Linked DNA regions of Struthio camelus. The protein of the gene in region 1 interacts with the protein of each later gene in a biochemical or structural test. Links are inferred from orthologs where the notes say so. Each region holds a gene or a part of one and is shown on either strand. Other genes may lie near its edges.

Region 1 (10,809 bases):
CCAGTTTTTAGACCTTGCCCTCCTTGCGTTAGACACTGTCTCGTTTCAGCTCACAGCTTCAAAGCAAGAGTGACATATAAGGAATTTTCTCAACTTCTTCAGCAACACACATAGAGCCCAAGGCAAAATCCAGCCGCTCCGGGCACATGAGCATATTAGCATTTGATTGTAGTGCTAGGCATTGCTGGTGAAGAAAGGAGCAGACTGTAGATGGAGCCAGATCAGCGAGCAAATGTATACTTGTCTTTTCAAAAGCCACAGTTTGCAGCATTGTCTACTTCTTCCCTTATAAGCTGGTGACAGCACAAACAATTTGAAGTATAAGCAACGAGAGCTGAAGCTCCCTTATTTGGTTTTAAGTAGTGTAACCAATATTTGCAGGGAAAAGCAAAAAAATCTAAGTTTGGATACTGGCTGACCAGAATGATTGTGGTTCACTTTCCAGTCAAGGCTGTATGTCAATGTTAGCAACTTATAACATTATTATCAAGTATTCGCTTTCAGCTTTCGTGGTATTCTGTTTAGGTAAGGATCAGGAAAAAGAGTGAGTAGATCATGCCAAACTCACTTACTTACAACTATTATTAGTATTATTTTGACTGAAGGATAAATACATGAAATAAACGCATCTCTATTGCCATTCTGAATGTATACTGAGACCACCAATATCTTAAGTTCACGCAGCTGACTAACAGAAAGTTCCCGAGCAAGACATGATGATAACATTTCATGTAACTCCTCTTTGGCAACACTTAGACACTGCAATTAAATACCAAACAGTATCACGTGTGCCAGTCGGTTACAGCAAGAAACAAAATGTGATGAACTGTTTGTTTTGAACTATTAGTATAAACATATTGCAGAAATGAAACCCAAGCTTAAACAATGGAGAAAGTTATCCGGTATTAAAATAAACAGTTCTAGGAAAATCACTGAAAATGTTTACCAAGTCATCTTCTTCCAAGCAGTTTCTGAGCAGAGCATTTTGCCGTGTCTGTGGTTTGCCAGCCAATCCCAGCGACGCTGACTATAGATATGCAAATGCTATTGGACAAGGCTGCCACTTAATTGCCTGTAATCAGCTCCCCAAGCAAGCACACTTTTATCTACAATCAAGCTACTAGGTCATCAAAGAAGCACTTTTGTTGCTGAGGGTAAAAGAATTTCCTTTTCTCTTAAGGAATACCTATTTTGCCTCGAGAAATCTACTAATTTAGAAATCAAGGAAAAGCATCTTCTAACTTAAAATATTACACGATTTCTTAAGTATATAATACCTTATACAAACTTTCTTAATAAATACCCTTCCGATACTGCAGGCTGCATTTGCGCTAAGAAAATAAGAGTCTCTGGTAAACATTGCCAATGTACAATTATAATGAGAGTTATATGTATTACATAGACTAATAAGCATATTTCTTCTACGAAGGTTACAATATATCTTGAATTCTGAAATACAAACTTTATTATAACTATTCACTTCTGATTACAGACCTATAGTCATTAAGAATTCTTTGTTTTGTTCACAGCAGGTGCATTGTAAAATTTTGCCTGGTGAAGCAGTATTTATATCCTGTATTAAAAGTCGAGGGGAAAAACAAATGCAGTGTAAAATGAGATGTGAGATGTCTACACAATGTATTCATTACACTAAAGCATTATGCTTCTTATGAAAGGAAATGAGTTATGGCTGAAACGCTTTGTAATGGCAACAGCGACAAAGCAAATTCAGCATTCAGAGATGCTATAATGGAGCTGCATCGGACTCATTTGTTCCCAGGGAGCTGTACTCCCTCACACAGAGAAACGGGTCCTTTCATTCTGAGGAGGACTGACATATGGGCATACGTGCGCAACCCTGGCTTCGTGTAAACCTAGGGCAGCAGAGGGCTGGGGGCTGGGAAGGGCAGCGGGGGAGTGGGGGGGATGGTCCTGCCCATAGCCGGTTTTACAGTCATTGAAGAAGAGAACAGTCCTCGGATATAAAATCCTTTCCTTGGGCTTCCTACCTGTTTAATCACTTCCCTCTGAAGCGTGAGAGGACTAGCCCTAGCTCAGACATTCACACTCTAGAGACTCATTTTTCTTCTTGTTCAGTTCGCGGTGAAACAGTGATCTTAGTTCAGTCTCTAGTGGACAAACATAGAATAAGTAAAGTCTCATAAGCATGATTCAGCAGGCAATTTGCTCAAGTAAAATCATGTGTGCATAAACACAGATAACAATTTTCCTCTTCTCAGTCCTTGCCTTAAACTCCCAAGGTGCAGTAAAATTATTTCTTAAGAAATCCTCTCCCTTACAAGTAAAGACATCCCCTCAGTTCCAGCCTTGTATTCCCCAAAGCAGACCACAATATTAAAAACTGAGGAAAATAGTCTGAAAAAGAAATGCTCAGCTATATTTTGGTTTATAGTCACATGTTTATTAGATACAGTCATCTCTCTCTTTCTAGGACTATATATGCAAAGAGTACAATTAATTTATCGGGAGATCAGGAAATTCTCTGCAAAGGTTTTAATATGGTTAGAAGGGTAGCGGTGGTTGTTTATGCTTTTTAACATATTTCTGTCACAGGAAATGAAAATTGTAAATGAGATAGGTAGCAATAAATATGCTAATATGAAGTTTTAGTAGTCTTTACTAGCATTTTTATTGATATTCATTCTTCATATAATCTTGCATTACAGTTAAATGATGTTTCTCTTGAATAGGTACATACGATGGTTTTCTTGTGCCATCTTACATGATTAATTGCATCATTAATTGCTCAGTTTTCTGTTTCGCCAGGTCATAATGCCAAGGTGAGAACAGGAATATTACAATCATATAAAAAGACCTAATTTTACTTGTCATCTCTCTCAAACCATTCTCAATATCAAACCATGGACAAGATCCAGCAAGGTAAGTAATTTTACTCAAGTGAGTAATCTTATTAACGTAAATGGAAGTGCTGATATGAGTAAAAGTTATTCACATATTTAAGTCTTTCCATGCCCAAGCTTCAGCTCATACATAAAGAACTGAACAGTTCAGTGAAAGTTTACAGCTATAGCACAAATTCTTGAAAAGAATTACTTCTGCTAAGTTACTATAACACTATTTTCAAGTCCAGTGTAATCCACACATTTAAAAAAATTACTGTGATGATTTAAGAATGTGAATGCTTATATACTTTTATCTGTCTTTCCAGTGATTAGCTGGATGGAATAGGATTACAAGATCTATTTATGGAGATAGTAATAATAGTCTCAATATAGTGCCTTTAAATGTTGATTTTTTTACATATACCTTTTTGCTGTCAGAGCAGCAGGTATGCTGCAAGACATCTGATCTGAAGCTCTGAAGCATAAACCAAGTTTACAAGACTAGCTAATAAAGTGTTCCTTCGTTAGAGTCTCTGATGGATTTTTGTATACTCTGGCTCACAAAACATCCGTGGTCTCTTGAGATAAAGCTTTACAAAATTGCATCTTCCAGTAATGTGAAGAAAATTCTGCTCCCAAGAGTAATCTCACTACGAAGGGTGCACTCTGGCTGTAAGATTTCTCACCCTGCAGAGTTATGAACTAGAGAAATCCTTAGTATCTCATTTCTCACAGAAACTCATGAAAACTACAAACAGCATAAGCACCACCAAAAAATATCCATTTGTGAGAAGTGGAAAAAGAAGCACTTACTTTTTGCAGCCACTGAGTGTAATTTTCCATCACATGTTCCAAATGTTGCAGTTTCTGGGAAGAGAAATCCTGTTCCACGTGAGGAGCATCTCTCTGAAGAGCGTTTGTGTTGTACTGGTCTGTCGTGCTTTCACGACAGTTGCCGTCCTGTTCTGGTAGAATGAAAGTATAGGTGCACTGCCCATGCTGAATCCGGTTATATCTTCTCCCACTGGCTTCTGGACCCCGACGTTGATTACTACAGCCCATATGAGCCAGAAGAGCAGCCAAGAAAGCAAAGGAAAGGAAAATTGTCATGTTATTATTACTTTCCTTTACTAATTTTAGAAAAACTTTTTTCTTCCTCTTTCTTTAAATTTGTTCTTAATTTCCTTTAAAGTCTTTGGGGAAAGGACTGGAGAATTGTACTTTAGTAATCAAGCTTGGATAAATTGTTATATTTTTGATTTCAATATTAGGATAGCTTCCTTAGTTAAAATTGGGAATATTTATTGCATAGTAGCTAAGATTTATTGTTTCCTCTCTGTTACAGTCCAGCATGTAGCCTGCTTTAGTCAGCTGCATATGCATATCCCAGTCTCTTTCCCCTACACTATCTGCTGCAGAACTGCTATTTTCTCTCAGACTTCAGTGAGTTTTATTAAGGTTGCACATTCAAGCCAAGCTGGAAGCAAGCAGCCTTTCACAAGATGACTTGACAGGAATGCGTGTATGAGTGCGCCCCTATGCTAAGGATGGCTGATGGCTCGGTACAGAGGGATCATCTTACAAACTGGCTGGATGCATGACCTCAATCATGCATGGCTTTCCAGCCCCTGTTGCACACAACTGCTAAGGGCTTTTGACGAATTCACGCAAGTTTAATAAGTTGGGCAGTCCACCTTAATACACTTCATATGTTCACACTGACCTATTAAAATGTAGATAAAGTGTAGAAGTTTGTTGTAATCCTTCTGTAAATATACAAAGCACTGAAATTAAAAATACTTTCAGTTCTCCACTGCTCAGTGTCTATTAAAGAATTCTAAATCAGAAGAATGACACTTATGAGAAAAAAGTTACATTTAACCCTCACATACTTTTGCTACTTTTCTCAGACATTTGTGTTACTTTAGCAGAGTTTGCAGACAGCTTTTCACAGGATTTAATGAAATGAAGGTTGCCAAATAATAATGAGAAATAGCAGTTCAGAAGGATAATAATATTCTATGTTTGGCTAGTAAAATAAGGTAACTAGTTACAAAACTGTGAGGTATGCTGGTTGAACTACTCCAGATTGTCCTATGGACTGTATAATTATCACATGTGAAACACTTCTACCAATGTGCAAGTCGGGACAGGCTACACAGTCACCCCTTATTATATATGAAAACTTTCTCAGGGGTAACTTCCTCAGAAAAGGATTGTGGTAAATATTTAGGAAACTATCTTAAACAGAAATAATGCCTTTGGTATTTGCTTGAGATCAAACTAGAATGCATAGATTAGAAACAGGATCAGAATAATCCTAAACTTCAGAGAAATTTGGTGCTGAGTTCCTGCTCTAGGATTTGCTATTGTTACACAAATACCAGCCAACTCCTTTGCAGACCACTTTGCACAATTTTGCTCATGAGTGTAGGTAGTCTGGGCAGTCTACCTGCAAGAATACTGAGTGCAAGCACCTCAGTGCTCATGCAATTGTCATTATTATGTATATATATTTTATTATTATAATTTTAGAACTACAATTTCAATCTAAAAGAACTGCCTGGAATTTTCAGCCAGGAGTCTGCCCTGCTCCTGAATAAGCTATTCCTACTCAAAACTGGGTGCTGAGGCTTTCGTCGGGCACCTGAAAAGAAACCATTCCCTTTGAATCATGAACAAATATCCCCTGCAAAAATGTAGAGAAATGAGAGGGTCTTAGCTTGTTTTAAAATGTCTGTTTGTCCAATATATAGTGAAAAAAGGCAAGCAACAAGAAAGCAAAGCAAACAGCGAAACACCAATGCTACCGTTGATTTTAACAAAATCAGAACATCCTTCTACCTCTGAATTGCTCAGCCCACCTTTGCACTCTGGCTTTTCTTTTTCTCCCTCTGAATATCAACTTCATAGAGCTCACTGTATTGCAAGCATTTTTCACATTGCTCCATCGTCAACAGATCTAGCTCTGCTGTGGTTTATTGCACTGTCTCTGCAATTATTGCGAAATGTATTTGCAAGATATTTGCTCATACCATAAGATCAGAAAGCTTTGATCTTTGAGGGAGAAAACTCAGATCGGACGCTGAGCTGAGGGGTGAGCATAAAAACAGTCATTCTGTATAAGGAGAAGTAAAATTGTCGGAGCACAAAAGTGATAACAATCCATGCCTTTTTAAAAGCAAAAAGAGAACTTTATCAAAGGACCTCAAAGCAGCAAAAGGGGGATGGTAAAGGTGAGTGTACAAAAGGCTTCCTAGAAGATTAAATCATATTTTAAAATGCTGCTGTTTACACAAGTCCTGCATTCACTTTCTGATGAGTATTTAAGCTACAGACTTTTACTCCCATGAAAACTTGGGAATGTGAGAGGGTAAACTTACAGGGTTTTTCAGATGAGAAGAGACTTCATGCAGCAGCAGGCGTGCTTTGTTGCTATTGCATGGCTTAAAGCACACTTCTCTACCTTCCCCTCCTGTCCCCTTCTTGCTAAGGGGTAACAGCCATAAGGCCCTTCAAGTAGATGCACAGAATTGGCAAGCCTCTTTGGCATTTCTCACATATCTCCTGCCTAGCTCACTGCCACACCACCTGCCTCCCATAGCAGACTCCTCCCGATCCCAGCCCCAGGGTGATGGGTGACGGGCAGCACATATCGGTGAGATGCCAGAGTGCAAAGACGCAGCAGAGCCACGCAGCAGCCAGAGCGTCACCTGTTAGGACACTGCACTAAAATCTTCCCTACTAGAGAGAATCAAGTCCCCTCGCTCGTTCAGTGAGCTAACAGTGCCATGTCTGTGTTACAGGACGTAGCATGCCTGCGTCGTCTCGTGTGCCTGAACCTGTGGAGTCTCACACAGAGGGGAGGATGAAGGGAGGTTGGGGGAAACACCCAGAGCCATCATGTCACCTCCAGTTTGCAGTCTTTTTAATCACAGGAGAGGTAGATAAGAGCACTCATGAATTGCACTGGGATGCACTTCAGTTTTGGGATACGATGACTCTCAGTGACCACTGACATGGTGGCAGTCCTGCGGGCTACACTGAAGCACAGTGAGCTCTCAGGGCTGCCCTTGCTTATACCAGGCCCTGAGCGTCCCTTACTAGAAGCACAGACACTTGGCCGCTCTTGATCCTGCAACACAGGGGGACCGTCAAGGTCAGCCACTCAACCTGATGTTCCTCCAAATACTTAGCAAGTTCATTTTTACAGGGACTTTGAACCAGTCACTTCAGGTTCAGTTTATATTCTTCCCTAATATATTCATGGTGCCATGCATACCCAGAGGAGAAAAGTGCAAAAGCAAACACAGAAAAGAGCATGTTTCCAGCTCTGCAGGCATTTAATTCCATAATACAATTTCCTAAGAAATTCTGTTCTACCTAAGGAAGATAGAATGCAGAAATGAGAAGACTTGTCATTTTTCCCATTCCTACTGAGACATATGCTGTATTTATTTCTTAAAAGAAATAGAAAATAAAAAAAACTTGACCCACGAGTTTCAATGGTTTGGTGTTTTCTACCTGAACTGAAAAAAATACAGTGTATTAACACAGTCCCACTTGATCTATGTGACCTGTCCCAACATTTTAAGAAGTGAAATTCTCAGTGAAGGGAGAAAAAAAAGTCCTCAAAATTCAGTCAGAGTCAATGTGGATATTTCTGCAGGATGCTACATTACATGGTATAGATGTAACCTAAATGATTTATCCAGAATTGCAGAGAAAAATCAGTTGCAGAGCCAAAAACCATGTAGGGGCATGGATGTATTTAAAAACCTCTTTATTTTCCTAAGACCACTTCCTCCAACACAATGACTAGCTTCATATTCCCTGAACTTTTCCTTCTATGTAAGAGGGAAGGGATGGATCCGGAGGCTTCCTTCCCCGACCATATGAAGTCTCAGCTACATTGTTTATTTAGTACCCACATAAAATTCTATAGTTGACTATGTAATCAGTGCTACAAGGCAAAAGAAATTGGAATTAAATATCTAGATAAAGCTTACATTCATATAATATCATTTCCTATGTATTTAGCAGAAAAATAATGCCTTTTGTCACAGAATCATAAACATGCTTGGAGTTCAAACAAATTCAAGAAAACAAAAATCTATTTCTGTTTCTTTACATTTCTGCTGCAATATGTGCTATTGCTGCAGACGAGTTACATTAAAGTTGCATAATATCACACACTGTAACTGGAGTTACTCCAATTCAACTTCCTCAATGTATAACGAAATTCACTATAGAATGGCTCCTAACAGAGAAAAGAAATAGGCTTTTTGTAGTAGGGGTTATCTCCAGCTAAATCAAAGCTTACAGGAAGGTGCAGTATTTTTCATTCTTAATCACAGAACAGTTGAGACTGGAAGGATCCTCAGGAGATCATCTTGCCCTACCCCTCTGCTTAAGCAGGGTCACCTAGAGCGTAGTGCCCAGGACCCTATCCAGATGGCTTCTGAACATCTCCAGGGATGGAAACTCCACAACCTCTCTGACCAGCCTGTGCCAGCACTCAGTCACCCTCACAGGAAAGCAGTTTTTCCTCATGCTCAGACAGAACTGCCTGTGTTTCAGTTTGGGCCTGTTGCCTCTCATCCTATCGCTGGGCACCACTGAGAAGAGTCTGGCTCCATCGTCTCGATACTGTCCCTTCAGATACACATTGGTCAGATGCCCCTTCGGTCTGCTCTTCTCCAGGCTGAACAGGCCCAGCTCTCTCAGCCTTTCCTCACATGAGAGATGCTCCAGTCTCTTCATCATCTTAGCAGCCCTTCTCTGGACTTGCTCCAGGAGCTCCATGCCTCTCTTGTACTGGGGAGCCCAGAACTGGACACAGTACTCCAGATGTAGCCTCACCAGGGCTGAGTAGAGGGGGAGGATCACCTCCCTCGACTTGTCGGCAACATTCTTTGTAACGCACCCCAGGATACCCTTGGCCTTCTTGGCCACAAGGGCGCATTGCTGCCTCATGATCAACCTGCTGTCCACCAGGGCTCCCAGGGTCTTCTCTGTACTGGTGCCTGGGGTTATTCCTCCCTAGGTGCAACGCCCTGCACTTGCCTTTGTTGAAGTTCATGAGGTTCCTCTGCCCATCTCTCCAGCCTGTCCAGGTCCCTCTAAATGGCAGCACAGCCTTCTGCTGTCTCAGCCACTCCTCCCAGTTTTGGATCATCAGCAAACTTGCTAAGGGTGCACTCTATCCCTTCATCTAAGTCACTGATGAATACATTGAACAAGACTGGACCCAGTACTGACCCCTGAGGGACACCACTAGCTACAGGCCTCCAACGGGACCTTGCCGCACTTATCACAATGCTCTGAGCCCTGCCATTCAGCCAGTTCTCAATCCACCTCACTGTCCACTCATCTAGCCCCTACTTCATCAGCTTTCATGTGAGGATGTGTTGGGAGACAGTGTCAAAAGCCTTGCTGAAGTCCAGGTAGACAACATCCACTGCTCTGCCCTCATCTACCCAGCCAGTTGTCCCACCACAGAAGGCTATCAGATAGGCTAAACATGATTTCCCTTTTATGAGTCCATGCTGACTACTCCTGATCATCTTCTTATGCTTGATGTGCTTGGAGATGGTGTTAAGGATGTTCCATCCCCTTTCCAGGGATCGAAGAGACGTTGACTGACCTGTAGTTTCCTGGCTCCTCCTTCTTGTCCTTTTTGAAGGCTGGAACATTTATTTTCTTCCAGTCCTCAGGCATCTCTCCTGATCACCATGACCTTTCAAAGATGATTGAGAGTGGCCTAGTGATGACATCCGTCAGCTCCTTCAGCAATTATGGGTGTATCCCATTAGGATCCACGGACTTGTGTGTGTCCAGTTTGCCTAAGTGATCCCTAACCCAATCCTTCTCTACCAAGGGAAAGTCTTCCTTTCTCCAAACTTTCTCTCTTGTTTCCATGGTCTGGGATTCCTGAGGGCTGATCTTAGCAGTAAAGACTGAAGCAAACAAAGCATTCAGTATCTCTGCATTTTCTGCATCTTTTGTCACTAGGGCCCCTGCTCCATTCAGCATTCACATCTCGCCTAGTCTTTCTTTATTTACTGATGTTTTTATAGAAACCCTCCTTGTTGTCCTTGACATCCTTTGCCAAATTAAATTCCAGATGAGTCTCAGACTTCCTAGCCCATCCTTGCATACTCTGACAACATCCCTATATTCCTCCCAGGTTACCTGTCCTTGCTTCTACCTTCTGTACACTTTCTCCTTATGTCTGAGTTTTGCTAGGGACTCCTTGTCTATCCATGCAACAGGTCTCCTGCTCCCTTTGCTCAACTTCTTTCTCATTGGGATGGACCATTTTTGACCTTGAAGGAGGTGATCCTTGAATATCAACCAGCTTTCTTAAATCTCTCTTCCTTCTAGGACCTAATCCCATGGGATTCTTCCAAACAGGCCCCTGAAGAGGCCAAAGTCTGATCTCCTGAAGTCCAGGGTTGTGATCCTGCTCTTTGCCCTGCAGCCTCCTCTCAGGATCCTGAAATCCACCATCTCAAGGTCACTACAGCCAAGGTTGTTTCCAACCTTTATATCCCTAATCTGCACTTCCTCATTTGTAAGTATGAGGCCTTGCAGAGCATCTTTCCTCATTGGCTTCTCTGTCTCCTGTATCAGGAAGTTATTACCGATGCCCTCCAGAAACCTCATGGATTACTTGTGCCTTGCTATGTTGTCCCTCCAGCAGGTATAGGGGTGGATGAAGTCCCCAGTAAGGACCAGAGACTGCGAACATGAGGCTTCCAGCAGTCTGTAGAAGGTCTCATCTACTTCTCCCTGATCAGGTGGCCAGTAGCAAGCAACTATAATAGTGTCGCCCATGTTAGTGTGTCACCTAATCCTTACCCATAAGCTCTTGGACAGGCCATTGTTCACCCCCGGGGCAGAGCTCCCAATATTCCCACCGCTCTCTCACATAAAGGCTGAC
Region 2 (9,847 bases), on another chromosome or scaffold:
CCCGGCAGTGCCTCTGTGGAGTTGGCTTTCTGGCATGGATGAATCACTAATAAAAGCGTTATTTCTCGGAGCAGCTTCCACGGCTCCCCCGGGGATCCCAGGGGATTGGGGACCCCCCCCAGCCCCCAGCACCCCCGGCCCAGAGCCACCACAAACCACGCAACCATCCCGTGGAGTCAGTGACATTCAGAGAAATTATTTCAAGGAAACGTCTTTGCTGCAGGAGCTGGCATCGTGGCGCACGCCTTGGCTGGACATGCTCCCGCGCCCGGGCTCGCGGGGGGCCGAGGAGAGGGCGAGAGCTGGAGGAGGCCGGTGCCGGTCGGGTCCCGCGCGTCTGGCGCGAGGTGGCTACGCACCACCAGGTGGAGAGCCAGCGCTGAACGATACCAGGGCCAGTCTCCCGCCGTCAGGACACTAGCAAGAGCCTCCTGGCACCCACAAAATGCCAGGCACGGGAGAGTGCTGGCAGCGCCCTGCTCCCGGGTCGCCGGAGTGCTCCTCCTCCCCGGCAGCGGCAGGAAGCCGGCTGCTTACAACAAATCTTCGTTTCTGCAGTTTCCAGTCGGGCGACGGCTGGGGCAGGGAGGCCCCACTTCCCCCTGGCTGCCAAGGGGCTCCTCCGCGGCCGCGGGTCCCCACCCTTTCCTCGGGAAAAGTGTTTCCCAGCTCGTCCTTGCTCCTGCAAACGTGTGACGAATGCAAACACAGACAGGCGCCCTGCCTGCTCCTGCTGCGGCTGGCCTTCTCCACCCTCTTCCCGAAATGCTCTGCCAAGGCAGCCCGGCGGACTGGGGACTGGGGATGCCGGGCCGCGGAGCAGATGCCTGCCCGTGACATGCTGTCCCCGCTCCAGGGCTGCTCCTAGCCTGGCGGCTGCAGCTTTTAGCACTGCGTTGCAGGGCCTTCCCTGGCCTATGTCCCAGAGACCTGCACCCGCCTAAAGCAACGGGAGCGATTCCTGCTCGTTCTCAGCAGCAGCCTCCCCAAGGGCGTGTTTCCATTTATATGTGTGGACCCCGCTCCTGTTGTACAAGACTGGCACCATGGACATAAAACTAAACAAATGGCCAGAAAAGTAGGACTAGAAAGTGTTGCTGATGCATCCTGTAGGTGAGTTAACAGGGTGTTTGCATTTCCTATCAGGAAATGTATCAGGGCATGTGATACCTTGGACTAGAATGGGTAAATGACACCGAAAAGGGTTATTTTTGTCACTAATTCTTTTACTTCATCATGAGTCAGCAAAAAAGTTTGGGTCTGTTAGTTCTGCAGAAAAAGCATTCAGTTGTGTGAGGTTTGTGCTATGGGTCGGGTAAATGGAGCTTTCCATATCAGCGGAGAGGAGAGCAGGTGTGGTGGGCTGCTTCAGCTGGGCATAGCTAACCCAGGACCACTGATTTTCTGGAGCAACATCAGGTTAAACTGGAGCTGTGGGATCCTGACTGAGTCTCCCCATGGACCCCCAAAGAAGTTTCCTACCCTACCTCTAACCCAAGGGATTCGCACAAATAGAAACCTCTTACCTAGGTCTTTCTAGAAAAAAAGCAACCGGACAAATCAGACTGTGTCTGATCCCTCGACAGATCCCTTAGATTTTCTGGACATCACCTGGTATGGACAACTGATGGCTAAATGGATCCACTTCCCCAAAAGATCAAAGCAATGCCCTGGATCCATTTCCTGGAACCATAGACATGCTTTGCTCTTTGGAGGAGCATACTGCAAGGCCCATGGTTGCAAAGCCTTCCAATAAAGCTTGTTTGTGCCATGTAGATAAACCCTTCATCCAAATGATTTTTCATGTCAGATGACACTTTACAATATATGTCGTAAATTATTGTTTTATTAGTACTGCTGCATTGTCAAGTGATCGCAGAATGTGAGCCTGTGCTCCCATTATTTATCTAGCTGCAATATGTGTAAGTACACGATAGCACAATGGTAATTATAGTACCAAGTGTGACTGACCTCTACAGTTCGTGAACAATGGGATGGTGGAAAGAAGCCATTTATTTATGTGTTTATGTATCTATCCACCTTCCTGCAGCTGTACCGAATGTATGGATGAGTCCCTGACCCAAAGAACTTGCAAATGAGCTTTGGATTTGACAGGCAAATAAGGACATGGCAGTTCATGGGAATGCGGAGGGACTGGAGAATACAGATTATAAGAGGAACAGGTTTTGGTTGCCCAGCCTGTGCGTGTCCATCTCAGTGACATCCTCACTTCTGGAAACACATTGATTTGTTTAAATTATAGTTGAGCCTCAAATGCTCCGTGGGTCCCCAAAGATGGAGCCCCTACGCATACCCACCCAAATATCAACCAGGAAAGCAACATGACTAGTTTTCCAGACAAATGTGGGCAGCTACAACCCAGTGTCCATCTTTTTTGCAGTCTCTCCATCTCTTTGTCTCAGGCTGGCTGCAGTGTTTGTGTTCATGGGAGTGTGTGGGAGCAGCCTGTGCCAGGGTGAAGAGTCAGCAGTGGTGTGGCAGAGTCCCTGTCTGCTCTAATCACTCCACACTCTTCAGGGGCACTGTACGTCCCTGGAGTGCACTGTAAATAGTCGGAAACAATGAATGGATTTCCCTTTCCTGTCCATGTGTTCTTTAGATTTTCGACCGGATACTGCATGGGCTCTGGACACACCAAAACATAAGGCTTGTTCCCCAGCAGTCCTGGTTTTCACATGGGAACACTTCAGGGCACTGTTTGTGAAACAACATGAAGTTTAGCAGGTGAAGATTATGGTGATTTCACCAGGAATACCTTAAATATTGTCAGATTAACCTCAGGTGCACAGAGCCCTCTTTGAGGTCACCCTTGTCTCACTGGAGAGCCCAGTACAGTCTGGGACGCTGCACGCGTGTCCGCAGGGCAGCGTAGCAGGCCCGCGAGCCTTGCTGAGCGGCAGCTGTGTGCACGCTTGTGTGTGGCGGGCTGTGCACGGTGCGCAATGAGCAGGGGGCCAGGTTGCAGCAAAGCATGCCACGTGTGCTGGGATGTTGCCTGTGGGCCTCGGAGGTTCCCGGGTGTAACCCAAGGACAGGCCATTTGTGAAATGGGAAAGGGAGAGGCAGGCTGGAAAACAGTCAAGGAAAGCTGGGCTTTCTACTGCTTTCAGCTTCCCCCCAGACATGTTTACTGCGCTGCAGAGGCTTTTGTTCTCTGATGGCCACTCCCGCCCTCCAGTTCAGGCCAGCCAGCTTTGTCTTGTGCTGCGAATGCTCTAGCTCGCATTTGGCCACTTTCAAACCAGACAGCCTCTGCTGACAGATTGGCTTTGGGATCTCTTCCCTGCATTATTCCAGACACCACTTTTGGGCGTAATTTGGCTGATTCATCCTTCAGGGGAAGCCACTGGTGCAAGGGGGCTTGTGCCCCTGCGCAGTCTCCCACAAGTGTGGACCCAGCCCAGGACAAGTCCAAGCGCTCCTGGTGCGTGCTGCCACCCCAACCCCTTCCCCACGCCTCTCTCCAGGAGGCCAAGGTCCTGCACATTCTCAGGGATGCCAACGGAGCTGTGTGTCCCACGTGCAATGTGCCTTTCCCTGCTGGTCAGTCCGGATGCTTAGATTGCTCACGTGCCCCCAGGAGATCCCTTGACAGGTAGCTCGAGGGAGAGAACGCTGCAAGGAGCCCATCATCCAGATTTCTCCAAAACAACTATTGACTAGGCCTCAGTGGGATCCTTCTTCACTCCCTGTAGATCCTGCCAGAGCTGCAGGGGTGAGGGGCACCACCCTGAGCCCGTGAGCTGGCCCCTCTCCTCCCCTTCCTATCAGCAGTGTTCCCAAGTTGTGTGGCATGGTGGGATGTCGCTGAGGTTGGTGGAGCTCTGTGCATCTGCCATATACACTGTACTGGCAAAATCTGATATGGTGGGAGCTCTGCGCAGTCACATGGAAATGTGAGGGAAGGTGGGAAGGGAAGGACATGAGCAGGAGCAGTGTTAGGAGTTTCTTGTACTACTTGGTAACATTTCTACTAGCAATGGGAACGTGACACAGAGGGGCTGTCCCTTCACTTAGGAAGGCAGCACTCAGTATGAGTTAGGACTGAGAGCAATTTTTAAGCCTCTCAGAGAAGCTCCAGCATACCCAGGACTGCCCTTGTCAGGGTGTCCTCAGCACCACTGGCCTCTTCCCTGTACTGCAGGAGCTGGGGGACAGTGTCACCCTCTTGTTACAGGCCCAGCCATGGTGAAGCTTTTTTTCTTCAAGGCTTGTGAGCAGAAAACTCTCACTGGCTCCAGCTGAGTTCAAGCACTGAAAACTGCAGCCCAGGACTACAGCCATGCAGAGAGTCTCTGGGTAGAGCTGTAGACTGAATCCCCTGAGCCTTTGTGGTTAAGCCTGCCTCTGTACCAGCTCTGAATTGCCATGCCAGTCAATGTGCTTTATGCGCTACTTACAGACAGCCTCTGCAACCTTGCTCCTGTGAGGGGTCTTTTCCTGACCTTCAGTCATATCACTGGACCTTCTTCCAGTTTTTCAGGCTCCATTTTAAATCAGGGCTGAAGTGCTGGTTTATGTGGGCTCTGGGCTGAATCTGTGGATTCATGTCTTGGCAGCCTGGCTCATAGCAGGAGGAGGCCAAGGCTTCAGGGGCTTGCCGGACGGACAGTGTTATGAAACAGGTAAGGACTGAGCGTCTCTGCCTGCCGCTCTCCAGGGAAGAGGCTTTGCAGGGCAGCTCCCGCCACGCGGCGAGGCGCTCCCGTCTCCGGGAGTCAGGGCCATGTCAGAACAATGGGTGGAGAGCAGGAAACGCTGCATGGGAAACAGGATTTCACTCCACTGCCGCCAGCCGCGGCCCCTTGGCCTCCTTCCTTTCCCTTGCTGAGCCTGCTCAAGAGAGCTCTTCCCACAGCTGTCGGTCTCCCTGGCTCCCCAGTGCCTCTCTCGCACCAGCCATCCCGACGGGTGGCGGGAGTGTGCTGAGGGGCTGAGGATGCTGCTGTGCAAATGGGCTCAAGCGTGAGATCTTCTCCTTGTGGGCGAGGAAGGGGGCTGAGACGCCTCCCTACCAGGCTGGGGGAGTCAGCATGGCGCTGGGTGCCTTGAATACACAGCTGTGACTCCTCCAGGAACGAGGTCCCTTCTCCTTGACAGATCAGCAGCTTGGTGGCCTCTTTACCACAAAGTCCTACTTGCGCCGTTCTCTTCCCATTGCCACCTGGGCTGTCTGCGCCGATCCCTGGAGCCTGCTGAGATCCTGGCAGAAGCCGAGCAGGGCACTGGGCACAGTGCTGTTCTTAGGCGGGGAATGGGGAGTCTCTTCCTCGCTGTGCCTGCAATATGAACACCAGGACGGCCTCCCAGCTCCTCCAGACCTTGGGCAGCGGTGAGAAGGCAAGATGGGAGCCACGGACAGAGAGCAAGGGCCCTGAGCCATCCCTCATGGGGAGCGGATAGGGAGCAGCAGCCCTCCAGCTCCTTCTCTTGCTGCTGGGGCATATCTGGGATTTTCTAACCTGTGCCAGGTTCAGGACACATTTCAAGGACATGGGACTCCAAGTTTATCTTCTACTTCTCCTCCCATGGCTGACAGGTAAATTCTTCTCCCTCTTCCCTTCTGCTCCCAGGGAACCAGCCCCTTCCCCAGGGAAGCTTTGTGGGACTAGAGAATCGAGGGCAATCGGCGGTGCTGGGGGTGGGGATGGAGCAGGGTTTGTTCTTTCCAGAGCTGCTTGTGAGCACAGATAGGCTTGGAGGAAGGAAGCATCCCTGTCTTATAGGGAATTTGGATATCTTCTCAGAGCCTGACAGTGAGGGGACCTAATCTCAGGGCTGAGCTGCCCTCTCCCACCTGTTTTTCCCCTGGTACGGGGCTAGCAGCATGACCAACTCACAGGAGGAAAGGCCAGTGGGAAGAGGAGCCCTAGGACCTCCCGTCCTGCTTTGGCTGCATGCTGGGCTCGTGTGGGTGCTCCAGGGCATTAAGGTAGGAGCTCCCCCAAAAGAGACTAGAAATCCCCACCCTGCTGTCCAGATGGGCTCTGTACCAACCTGGGGACAGGGAGAGAGGCTGTGCCCCGGCATGGCTCTGGAGCTGTGCAGGGGGCAAGAAGGCCTGGGGAGGAGGGGTTTACATCTGAGGTATGGGGTTTGTCATGATGACTGACCCTGATGCAGGGCTGGGATGGCCGGTGCTCTCGTCTGGCATGCAAAGACCAGGCCGCGGCTCATGACGTGCTTTTGTGCTCCCATCCTAGGGGCCATCCTGGACATCACCCTAATTGCCAACGTGCAGAGCCTGTCTCACTCTGACTTCTTCCTCTCCTGCGTCATGGGCGAGCGCGACGTGAGTTACCTGCAGATCGAGAGGGACAACAAAATTGTGATGACACACCCCAAGACGGGCTTCCAAAACTACCACAACCGCAGCAATCATGTCCAGGCCAGGGGCTTCTCCATGCCTGACCTGGTGGGGATCCTCTACTGCCTGGGGCGCACACAGACAGAGCAGGCCCAGGTGGTCTATGTGCACAACAGCCACAATGGTGAGTTGGCTGGGGGCTCCTGGGGTGCTGGCATGTCCCCCCCTGGGAGCTCCTCCACAGGCAAGCTGGAGACTGCATGTGAAGCCTGCAGTTACAGGCTTCTTCCCCCACCCTCTGAGCTTTGCAGTTCTGGTGCAACTGAGGAAGGTGTTATGGTGGGACAGTGGTGACCTACTCTTTGAAGCCAGATTTGGGGTCTACTGGCACTGGAAGGCCAACAGGCCTGTGCTCAGTGGGTAGCCACCACCTTGCCATGGCACCTGTGGCACTTGAGCGGGAGGGGCATGGGAGAGGTGATTGACCACCACTGGGGCTTGACTCATCCAAGCACCAGTCACGAGCAGCATGCATTTATCTCAGTTAAATGTTTGTATGGTGCTGTAGATTAACTTGTGACGTGCAGGAGATGACACCTAGTCCAATAAATAGCTTTTGCGACCTCCCAAAAATATGGGATTACTGTGATTTTCAGCTGAGGAGTATGGCTGAACTCCAAGGGCGTTTCATGTCTTCCACCAGAGTTGTGGGTCACCTCTCTCAAGGAGGTTTGCCAGGAAGGGCAACAGTCACATTGTAGGCAGCTGGCTGAGATGGGAATTGTGCCCAGGATCAAGCCAAGGTCCAAGTAACAGGAAGTCAGACGGCTCTGGAGGAGGGTGTCTCTGGTAGCGCGGTTTGAAAATCATTAACCAGGAAGAGATTAGCCCATCACAGAGTAGTGCTTCCAGCCTCGTGCCGGGAGGACCGCGAAGGGGCTGACTCTGCCCAGCACCATGCCTATGAATGGAAACATTGCAGTAGCAGGTGCCGAGGAGCCTGCAGGATCAGAGTGAAGAAAAGCTGCTGAGGGGACTCTCAACTGCATATTTGGGATCGTAACTGGCTCTTTGAAGGGGGCATGTGGGACAAGCTGTGCTGTGGCTCCCGGGAAGCATGAGAGTGCACAAAGCAGCTTCTTGTGGGGAGGTACACCTCCTTTCAGTCTCCTTGAGGATAAGGTTGTGCCCTCTGGATCTGAACGTGTGCTTTGGCAAGCTCAGGGCTGCCAAGCTCCTTGCAGCAGCAGGACTTCGCGGCCTCCTGCGATGGCGAAAGGCATTGCCAAGGGCTTGCAGGCAGTCAAGGGCAACGCTGAATGCTGGGCTCTTGCCTTCGTGCTCCATCTCCTATTTAGTGCCTTGTAAGCCCAAAGGGCATCCCTGGGCTAGGCCACAGTGGGGGTAACGTCCAGGCTTAACATTGTCTGACACGGCCCCCTGTAACCTCCCTTCTTCAGGTGCTCGAGACTGCAAAACTATGACTATCAGGACTGAAATTTTCTGTAATAGGTAATTGCCTTAGGATGCTTTCTGGGTCCTTTTTAGAAAGTTTCAGCTAAAACAGTCCCCCTTTTACTGAGAATGAAATGAGGAGACTACATATTCCCTTCCCTCTATTAAAACACAATTGTACTATAATTTTTTGAGCAGCTCTAATATTTCCAAGCTGTGGAACAGAGATTGCGATAAGGAACAGGCCTCTGGGGTCCACACATCCTCCAAAAAGTAGTGACTGGGACTGTGTCCTTGGCCAGAAGTTTGACCTGAAAATGGCAGCAGTCATATCGGAAACGGAGACGACTAGTCTGGACAAACAGAGCGCCAAAGAGGCGCCAGCAGAGGACAAACAGAGTCGGGGGATATGCTAATACCAAACAAAAGCAAATAGGAAAGACTGAGTCTGCTGTGATGTTCAAAGAGTAGTGCTGTATGTTAAAGAAAGGCTGAAATGGAAACTAACTGTATCAACAAGCGACAGAGGATGCCTTTCTGCGGGATTTCCCTGTCTCTTGCCAGGACAACACAGGTAGAGCACGGCGGTAGGGCTGTCCACGGGCCACAGGGGTTTGGCAGGGTCAGGAGCATGGCAGAGGGCTTCACGCCCCTGTACATCCCAGGTGCAAGTCACAGAGGGAGATGAGAGCTTTAGGGTCACATAGCCTGGTGGTGAGAGGGAGCTGCTCCGTGCCAGCCCCCGGATCACCACCGGGACCTGATTCACAATACCGCTTCCCACGAGCTGCTCACTGAGACTCCCTCTTACGTGCCTGGGCTCAAAACCCCTGTGGGAGTAACAAGAGCCAAAGAAGTTACCATTGGTCTGTTTAATTTAGAGAAGGAGAAGTAACTAAAAATGAGGAAGATTGCTGAAAGGAAAAGGTAACTAAAAATATTAGATCTTTGCAGGGGGAGTGAGGGCTATGTAAGGAAACCATCTTGGAGGTTCAAGTGCATGTCACCTCTCATTCAAAGGCTAAGAAAGCACACAAGTGTGTGTGAATCACTAAGCAGCCGGTAGGAAAAATTGCTAGAAGCAAGCTGATATCTTCCAAAGTGTTGTGTTGTGCACAAATGAAAAAAATAAAAATAAAAAAAAGAAAATAGGAAGGATCCTAAACTTTGGAAGGTTTCATGCAAAAAAAAAAAACAAAAAAAACAAAAAAGAACGTAAGAGGCAATTTAGGAAGGGTTTAAAATTGGCAATACAACATTTTTCAAAATCTCAGGGACAGAAAGTCTCCCAGATAGGCCACTGCAGAAAAGCGATTTTTTTTTTTTTTTTTTGCGTCTATGTACACCATAGAGAAGTTTGTGGAAATTCCCACAATGAAACCTTAATTTATAGGGAACTTGTCAGAAAATCTGTCTCAAAGTGCTGACAGAGGAGGACATGGAATAAATAGCCAAAATGAGCAATACCATGTTGCCAGGACGGTGTTGCAATGAAAAGTACCATATTGTTAAATTGCTGACTGTGGTGTGTGACCTCTTTCTTAAAATTGCCTTGGTGCCAGAGGACTGACTGCAAGGTTGCAAGTCTGATGCCAGCTACTTTACAAGAGTTTCTAGGTAGGGAATTACAGGTTTGTAAACGTAAATCTCGACCGGACAATCAATAGAAACTGTAATAAAGAGCAGAATTAGTAGGCACATGACACCCTGAGAAAGAGCCATCGCATGTTTTATAGAGGCAGGTAATGCTCTGTAGCTGGATTTCTTTGAAGGCATCAGTAGCGAGGATAATGTGGGAGATCTGGTTGATGCTGTCTGCTCACATTCCCGGAAAACATTAGAAAATTCCCTTCCAAAGGCTCTGTCTGGTTGAAAGAAACTAAGCAACCATGTGGCGACAGGGGAAGTCTTTACATGGATCAATAACTGACTAAAAGAAAGGAAACAAGAATAGTTCTTGCCGTGCAGAGAAGGCACTGCTAGAGTCACACAGTGTCTCTTCAGGAATCTATGCTACTGGATGTATTCATAAATGACTGAAAAAGTGACCATGTTTGCTGGTGT

The links. The genes of interacting proteins can lie anywhere in the genome.
Region 2: the proteins of ANGPT1 (region 1) and TIE1 interact in a biophysical measurement, tested with the Homo sapiens proteins (2 studies listed by BioGRID and IntAct, with this or other methods). The link is inferred for Struthio camelus from reciprocal best matches to the Homo sapiens genes ANGPT1 and TIE1.

The regions. Positions count from the first base shown.
Region 1 is NC_090943.1:143,118,356-143,129,164, reverse strand, and holds the start of ANGPT1 (angiopoietin-1), read right to left. Parts: upstream 4,586-10,809; 5' UTR 3,975-4,585; coding exon 3,678-3,974; intron 2,902-3,677; exon of another isoform or gene 2,788-2,901; intron 1,155-2,787; exon of another isoform or gene 985-1,154; intron 1-984. UniProt on the Homo sapiens protein: Binds and activates TEK/TIE2 receptor by inducing its dimerization and tyrosine phosphorylation.
Region 2 is NC_090949.1:25,359,053-25,368,899, forward strand, and holds the start of TIE1 (tyrosine-protein kinase receptor Tie-1), read left to right. Parts: upstream 1-4,785; 5' UTR 4,786-5,514; coding exon 5,515-5,560; intron 5,561-5,747; exon of another isoform or gene 5,748-5,953; intron 5,954-6,224; coding exon 6,225-6,512; intron 6,513-9,847. UniProt on the Homo sapiens protein: Transmembrane tyrosine-protein kinase that may modulate TEK/TIE2 activity and contribute to the regulation of angiogenesis.